2 linked regions of the Kluyveromyces lactis genome follow. The protein of the gene in region 2 interacts with the protein of the main gene of each other region in a biochemical or structural test. Links are inferred from orthologs where the notes say so. Each region holds a gene or a part of one and is shown on either strand. Other genes may lie near its edges.

Region 1 (4,769 bases), on a different chromosome or scaffold from region 2:
TGGAAGATCATCTTTTTACCATGTTGAAGAGATACAGATTCAACTTCATATCCATCTCTCAACGCCCGTCTTTGATAAAATACCATGACTACCTATTGGAATTGACTAACGGAACTGATTGGAGCCTACAGGCATTAGGGTCAGACGAAGCTATTTTATCAATCGAAAATGAGATTGAAACCCTAAACCAAAAGCTAACAAAGGTAAAAGAATGGGAAAGGCAGAGAGATGAACTACAGGCAAAGTTGACATTGGTGTGAAAAATTGGTTTGAAAATTTAAATCTGCCAAGTCAAATGAACTATTCTTGGTGTGTAGTTCAATCAGTAGTAAAAGTGTCGGATATTGTATTCATTACTATTATATAATATAATCACAGAGTTAATGAATCTATTAATATTTTGCTCTATATAAATTATGCAAGAAAAGCACAGGTACGTCTGTGTATTTTATTGTACAAATGGTACGGAATGATGTATAGAAAGAAAAGAGCAAATTAATCTATTTGAAGTCCTTGTAAGTCCATTTCTCAGTGACTCTTGGTTTATATCTTCTACCTTTTCTAATAGGGATACGAGATTCTACCCTACCAGAACTTTGTAATGCTCTCACAGTGTCATATAGCAGATTACCTTCTGGTCTTAATTTTCTTAATGAATCTGATAGTTCATCTGAGAATTTCACCTCTAAATTGTCTTCCATGACGGAATGTTTAGTACCAAGCTTATGCTTCTTGTTCTTTTTAACTTTTCCGGCTGTAGAGACCGGATTTGGGACGGTGGATTCCACTTCCTGCTGAATTTCCTCTAATTTTTCAAGTTTGAGAACCTTTTCCTTCAATTTCTTTAATTCTTGCTGAAGTTTGACTTTTTCTTCGTGTCTTCTTTGTTTATTTCTCTGATATTTCGTTTTCTTTTTATTCTTAGTTGCTGGATTCAGAGACAACTTAGTCTCTTCTCCCTCTTCTGAAAGGTCTTTATCATCAAGTTCTGATTCATTTTCTTCTTCTGAATCGGAGTCCTCTTCCTCCTTATCTTCAATAGTATCCATCAAGTGTTGAATTCGTTGTTTATATTGTTCTAAAGCTATCCTGCGCTGTTCATTTATCAGCTCACCCTCATATTCAGTACTTATAAGAGCCTCCCATTCTTCTTTGCTTGGATTATATGACTTTCCTGCATGTGGAATGACATCTCTTTCTTTGACAATTTCTGGCACGCGAGCAATGGAATCCGGCTTAACAGTTGCGACGGACCAACTAGTTGTAGACTGTTTTAAGAATCCATTTGGAAGTTTCTCTACTTCTTCTGGTGCTATCTTAAGCTTCAGTCCAGATGGTACTTTAACCTCCTTACCAGCATCTTCGCCCCATAAATCAAGGGATCCTGACTTCACAAGACCTTCTTTTGCAACTCTTGCTTTCAACTTACTTTCACCAATTTTTTTACCAGCTAAAGCAAGTAATCTGTCCAGTTCTTTCTTTGATACCCCTTGGATCTTATCATGTTTCTTGTTAGCAGTCTTTGGGTTGGTTAGAGCAGGCACTTTGGATTTAGACTTGATAGACTCCAAAATCTCGGTTGACTTCAGAGTTTTCTTGATTGCTTTCCTCTTCACTAATTTCTGCTTTAAAACTTGGTCACCCTCAGTATCAACCGCAAAAAGCGCATCATCGCTAAGTTCTGTCAAATTCTGCTTACCATGAGTAGTCTCAAGGATCTGCTTCTCTTCGAGCTTGCGTTCCACATCGCTTATATCAATATTCTTTCTCCATGCCTTCTTACCTTTACGAGAAGATTGTTTGTACTGAGCTGGTCTGTCCTTAGATCCCGCCATAACTAACTATTTTGTCTGTTTGTTTGAGGTGGATTGTCCTGAATAGTATGGTAAGGATTAGTAAAACGATACGCCAGTCCCCGAGTATTAATTGTGTACTTGAATTCATCTCATCGCATCGCATCTCATCTCTTTTTTTTTTTTTCATCTTATTGGCATCGGATTGTCTAAATGAAAAATTGACATAAAAAAAAAGAAATATGATTATTCTCCGGGTAACATTCACTTTCGAAGCAAAGTAAAGGATATCGATTCATAATAGACAAGGAGATAGCTGTCGAATGTCAATTAGGAGAGGAATAGTCTAGAATCGTGTGATATTGATAAGTAACATCTGTAATTGATAAAATAAATGATTCTTCAATCGAATTATATGCTATATATTTGAACGGATGTCTGAAAAAATATTACTGTATTGTTAGCCTACTCCGTGTGGGAGCTTCCTTCATGTTCTTTCGGCACCTCTACTTCTGTTTCTGTACTTTCTATTGTTTTAAGCTCTGTTGGTTCAGATTCAAGCGCTTTTTCCTTTTGAGCCTCAGCGTCAGCATCTGGTTCTTCAACTTCTTCCTCAAGTTTTTGTTTCTTCGAAACAGCTTGTTCTTCTTCATTCCCGTCAGCCTCTGGACTATCGTGTCTTCTCTTTAGTGAATCATTATCTTGATCATCAGGCGAAGTTGTTTTATCATTTTTTCCATTTTCCAGAGTTTCTCTTTGACTTTTTATCTTCGCTTGAAGTAGATCTTTCCTTTCTTGTTCCTTGTCTTTGAAAAACTGTTCAGCCTCGGCGACTTGTTCGGAATGTTTCTTCTTTTTTGACTCTATTCTTTCGGCTAGCCGTCTTTTCTTAGATTCGATATCATTCCTAATGAGTTCTTCATTGGCGAACCCCGCCAGAGTAGTTTTTTCGCTGACCTTATTAAACTCAAACAAGTATTTCGGCCTCAAAGATCTTAGATTCTGCCATTGTTTTACTATGACATTATCAGTAGTGGTTTCATCACCATCAGTTTTTTCAGTTTTATCCTTGTATTCGGATATTATAGTGTCATATAGTTCTGAGGGATCTTGTCTATTGTTTTCTGAATACTTTCTCGCTAAATCTAAGCCTGATTGCACTTTCCATAGACCGTCTAATTTCTTATTGCCGAGTTTAATCCATCCGAATTTCTTGAATGCATTATTAGCTGTTGGTACGGTAATCAAATCAGAGGACCAATGAATGTCTTTCAAATTTGAGAAATCACCGACTTTTTGATTGAGTGCATCCAATTCATTCTGAGCTAGATGATTCAACAATTCATAAAATTGACGATCCCTAATTTCATAAAATGAAGAAATTCTGTTTAACTTCTTCGTTAAGAAATTGATAGCAGAATCGTTTTTATTTAGCACGTTGTCTCCATATTCAACACGCCATTTCGATGAATGGGACAATGAACTCTGATTAAAGATTTTGCCATAGTAGTGAACCAATGTATCATTGGAAATAATTTCCTTCAATAAGTAAAAAGTCAAATAAACTTGCGATATGACCAATTTCCTGAAATAGTCATATTCATATGCTTCAATCCGATCCTGAAAAGATCTAAGATCAAATAAGTCTAATTCTAACGGTAGCAATTGGATGATATTTTCTGACTTCGTAGATTCTAAATTGAATTCCTTCCAGAACTCAACTTTGGATGGGAAAATTGAATTTCTTGAGTCATCTGGTTCATCGTAAACGTTATCGATAAAGTTTAAAGGGTAGAAATCTTTACCATTAACCGCAGCTTCTTGTTTAGCATGCTTTTCATTTTTTCCTTTTATCAAATTGTATAGTTCGGTTTCATAGACAAAGATCTCATCAACAAATCGATGAACGACAGGTTCGAGTGTGAGTTTGTCCCTTGGATGAGAGAATAGCCAATGCAATGGATGAAGGAAGAAATCATCACAAATTTTCGTCCAATCAGAGAGAATAGTAGGAGATGAAGGCAAAGCCGGTAAGTGTGGAGCCCAAAACGTTTCAGGATATTCATCCGTAATTTTTGCCCTTCGATTAATATTGCAATGGTCATTAATAGGTATTAGCTGCGATATCCACCATAATAATTTATGCACAAGCTCGAAATGATTAGGTGTGATGAAGAGAGAATGAGAATCGATGTTCTTGAAAAAAGTATCAATGCTGAAGAAAAGTTTTGCAGCTGGAGGCCTTATTCCCATTTTCAAGTTTGTTCCTCCATTAGATACAGGTTCCTTCGATAGGCCTTCTAAGTACCATGACAATCTTGATCTTAGGTACGTATAGAATTGCCCCAGTTCATGCGGGAAGGTTAATGTCAGGATACAAGTTGCAGTTAGGTCAAAGAATAATGCGGCCCATACCTTAGATTCATCCTCCTCCCCAACGTACTTTAAATGATAACAAAAGTCCAGTAAGACGCTTAGTTTGCGCATGTCTGTGTCTCCAGCATTTGTCACCAATTCGTTTAACAGCCCTTTCAATAGTAACTCTCTTTTACCTAATGATAGTTCCGTATCTAAAGAAAAAGAGCTGGATAGCACACCTTCAGAAATGTTCTCACGTTTCAAAGGTTCAGACAGCACATTTTCAGGGATTGGTCTTTCTGGGTCTTCATACAACTTAATCTGCAATTGATCCACAATTTCGGCAAGTGAGCTCTCGAGATCTTCCATCTTACTTTTAGGTTATCAATCTGCTTCAACCAATTCTTGAATAATAGCTGTTCTCTAGAGGAAAAACAAGATAATAACGCTAGCTCGATTGACTCCACGAACTATAAGGTTTTCCTCCCAAAATAGTTGGAAGACCACATTGTAGCTATAGCTATTCAGTAGGCTTTACCAATGTCAAAATTTCATAACAGTTGCTGAAATTTGTATATCACGTGACCAAGTTTTTGAACGTGAAATGTTAGACCTTTA
Region 2 (4,125 bases):
AAACTAGGATTTCAGATAATAGGATAGATAAGCTCTTGGAGTCGTACCCGTTTAATTTTTCTGCTCTTTATGTTTGATCAAAGCAGTTCATTGCAGTATGCATTAAAAATTCAATCTCATTATATATACTACTTAGGGCTAAATCTCTTTTAAATGCCATGAGATACCCTTATTTATACACTCTTATAATTCCGCGTAGTAAACAAAATTTGAATATCAACATTCCTTTTTGTCAGTTCCAACATTTTCGAGAACTGTTGGCTAATCTGATGCACTGCACATGACTATAGATGAAGAAATTAGGATAGACTGACTACTGTGAAAAGACTCCTTGCAACTGGAGGATCTTATGGGCAGTCTCAGAAAAGCTCAAGTTATCCAATCTGTGTCTCAATGCCTAGGCAGAAGTAGCTATTTCTAAGGAAAAAAACTATTACGCAAACGAATTAGTGAGCGAAATTAACCTGTAAATATGACTAGTTCGATATTTATACCATTAGAGCTGCTCAAGATGCTCTATCTTTTGAATGAGACGTTCTTACCCTTGGCAGGTTTTGATTTTTTCTTGATAGGCTGTGGACCGACATGTTCAACAGAGTAAGGATCGAATCTTCTTTTTTTATGCTTCTGTGAGTTTGTATTATTCTTTGTTGAGTTCAATAGGTCGGAGCCAGCAGCATAATCCATAATCTCATGACTTGCAGGTGGACTGATAGTCTTTCGTTTGTTGTTAGATTGAGATTGTCTTTTGCGCAACGTAATTACTTCATCCTTGTTCTCTTCAATCTCTTCCTGAGAAGGATCAGACGTGATGACTTCATTTCTGTTTTCATCGTTAGATACTTGCGTAGGAGCTTCATCCTCATTTGACGGTAGCACAATACTCTGAGCTTGTCGGTCAGTGTATTCTTGTTCTAACGTCCTTGTTATTTCATGCTGACGCTTTAATAATTCATGTTGTGGAATGAGCGTTCTCGTCTTTGGTGTATATCTGACGGCAGTATTCACATCCAAGTTTGAAATACCATTGAATAGGACAGATTTCTCTGAATTTTGTTCGTTATTCAGCTTTTGAGAGTTTATTTCCGAAGCAAGTGAATGAAATATATTCTGAATGGATTTAATTTGGGACGTTGTTATTATATTGGCCAGATCGGTGCCGTTACTTTCGGCCGATTCCAAAAGTGGGATCGCAGAAGAGTTGGAATTTCCTTTGAGATCCTCTAAAGTTCTTTTGATCAAGTTTGCAATGACCTTCGAATTTGTTCTTAAATGCTCTGAAACGTATGAGCTGACAGACAATACGTTAATGGGTTCGGTTGGTGCACCAGCCACCAACGATACAAGTAGTTGGTTTGGCATCACGTAACGAGGAGATTCATCATCCCTCCTGGCGATTGTATCTCTCCATTCATAAAGTCTACGGAGAAGTAATTCCTTTGAAGCCGGAATATTGTACTGAAACATAATATTCTTCCAAGGTTCATCCTTTTCAATAGGTGAAAACACTGCTGAAGACGGAACCTTTGGTCTGAAACTACTATATTCAAATCTTCTTTTAGCCACTTTTCTCGATTCATGCAAAACATCGGACATCTTATTCTGTTCCAGTAGAGAGTTCCTTAATTTATCGAAAATATTTAGGAGAAAATGCGTATCAGCTCTTGCATATGCAAGCATAGGCTTGGTCAACGGTCTGATTCTCCAGTCTGCCAGTTGATATTTTTTTGAAGTCTTGAAATTAGCAAATCTTTCGAGAAGATAGGCCAGACTGTGTTTTGGAAAACCTAACATCCTGGAGGCATGATAAGTATCAAAAAGGCCAACAATATATAAGCCTAAATCACGTTGAAGCCATATGATATCCATGAATGCACCGTGCAGAACTTTAGTAACATTAGGGTCGGTAAAGATATCATTCAATATGTAAAGTTCCTCTCTCAATGCAATAGTATCTACAATCCAATCATGCTCCCGGTCACTAATTTGCATCAAACAAACTATACCATAGTAAGACCTATAATCATGATGTTCTAAATCGATTGCTAATTCTGTGGCTTTACTTAATTCATCTTTCATTTTGTTAAGGCCTTCAACGGTGTCAACCCAAATTGCTTCAGTTTCATCCCAGTCCTTTGATGGGATCGGTTCTGTTGCAACAAGAATGGAGTCATTGTATTTTTGGTGGTCGATCTCATATTCGTATGGATGTGGGTAATGGGACGGGATGGATTCCTCTTCTGGGACCATCTTCAATGAAATTTCGAACGGTTGTAAACTATGGGGTTTGTATTCCAATAATGGCTTGAAAGGATGAAGTTCTGTGTTATCTACAGGAGTTTTAAAACTTAGTTGAGGTTTTTCAATCCTCTTGGATGGTTTATTGTTCGAACGATCATCATCATTTAGATACTTAAGTGATGGACCTCCAGCGTTTCCACCATTTCCGGCTCTAATGTTGTCAAGTGCATGATCAGACTTTTCAAATAAATTATCCATAATATTACTTATGGATTTCCAAGAATCCACAAAACTGTCTTTCCCTTGCTGAATTACATCATTATTGGGATCAATAGACAAAAGCAAGTCGTTGATTAACGATAAAATGTTCGTAGAAGTGTCTTCTAATGATGCATTAATGTTGGAATCTAAACTTTTGTAGAAATCGATATCCTGTGCAGCCAATGCACTCGATGATCTCACAGTTTGAACCAAACTGGAAAGTAACGTATCCTTATCCTCTGAAGACATGGTGGATTAGAGTCAGCTGGTAGTCTACGGGGGATTCAAAACGGGGCGAATCGTACTGCCCTCCAATATATTACTGTCTTTGACTACCAGATGAGATGAGATGAAGAAATATTCACTAATCAAAAGAAATCAGAAGAATTCAAATCCGGGTAAAATTTAGATGTTCTCTGCTACTGATGAAAATGATTCATTCAAAGAGTCGGTAGTATTACAGAGAGAGTCAGACCACGTATCACCACCGCCGCCATTGCCTTTCAACGGCTACGTTATAAGTTAATTGGCTACTAGAGAACTAACTATATAATCTTGCATAACTTCTGCTTCCTCTACGATGTACGGATTTTTTTTCAACTAATGTTGCAGCATCTCTCATCTCAATATTATAAAATGACGCTAGAAGCAGACAGCATCAGCTGCTCCATTTTATGGCAACCAATTAAGTATAGCTATATAGGGCGGCTAACCTGTAAGAGTAAAGATGGCACAATTGAAGGAAAGTAATGCAAAATCCTGAAACATTTAAGTAGTGAAACTATACTTTAATACTACATGCTTTTTCATTGTAATCTTGGGTAGTGATTCAATAACTTAAAAGTGGGTCAATTAATGTCTAATTTCCGTCTAGACATTATGAAGTGAATATTGATGAGTATTGCTGCGATGAAAAGAACATCAACAAAAATGGGAAACCATTTCAGTATCGTAAAAGACTCATAACACATTTTGCCAACCATCTTCACAAATTCAGCGAAAGATAAATTGAATCCGAAGTTGATTCCATCCTGGCAATGAAATAAATTAAAGGAAGGTCAACTATTGAAATGACTTGAAAGCTTTTTGCCGTTGCGTAGCAAAGTGCTCTTTCTATCCATATTGGTCGGATCATCCTCCTTCATATTTCTCTTTTGTGGAATGGTGATCGGAGGAGAATCACTATTCTCATTAACAGAAGTTTCTCGGGAACGAGTTTTCCGGTGTTCACTCAGATTAAAGCTATCGCCCTCGGTTATAGATGGTGAAACGATCCTGCCCGTAGTGGATATAATGTTTGTGTTTAATCTACCATTTCCTTTATCTTTAAGATTGTTCTTGATTGTTGTACTAGGCGGTACCAAGGTGCCACCAATGCCAGGATTCATTGGATCGACCATTTTGAAGAAGTATGTGGAAGTTTTATCCGGTGAGTTCAATGGATTTCCAACGAGTTGAACAATCTTCCTGTAATAATTCTGTAAAACATTGAAACCATTGTCGGGACCTCTCTGTGAAGCGTTTTTCATGGGTATCAGCATATTGGAGCCCAATTTTTGTTCAATCTTACAATTTTCGATATTATCATCTCTTGGGATAATTCTGTATCTGACTCGTTCCAAA

The links. The genes of interacting proteins can lie anywhere in the genome.
Region 1: the proteins of RRP6 (region 2) and NOP53 form a complex in vitro, tested with the Saccharomyces cerevisiae proteins (2 studies listed by BioGRID). The link is inferred for Kluyveromyces lactis from reciprocal best matches to the Saccharomyces cerevisiae genes RRP6 and NOP53.

Annotation. Positions count from the first base shown.
Region 1 is NC_006042.1:1,055,269-1,060,037, forward strand, and holds NOP53 (Nop53p), read right to left. Parts: upstream 1,836-4,769; coding exon 501-1,835; downstream 1-500. Other genes in the region: ATP-binding cassette long-chain fatty acid transporter PXA1, read left to right, coding at 1-260; HPR1 (Hpr1p), read right to left, coding at 2,259-4,520. UniProt on the Saccharomyces cerevisiae protein: Late-acting factor in the nuclear maturation of 60S ribosomal subunits, which is required for normal acquisition of export competence. Required for the export of the large subunit.
Region 2 is NC_006040.1:113,339-117,463, reverse strand, and holds RRP6 (exosome nuclease subunit RRP6), read right to left. Parts: upstream 2,752-4,125; coding exon 517-2,751; downstream 1-516. Other genes in the region: PHO80 (Pho80p), read right to left, coding at 3,561-4,125. UniProt on the Saccharomyces cerevisiae protein: Nuclear-specific catalytic component of the RNA exosome complex which has 3'->5' exoribonuclease activity and participates in a multitude of cellular RNA processing and degradation events.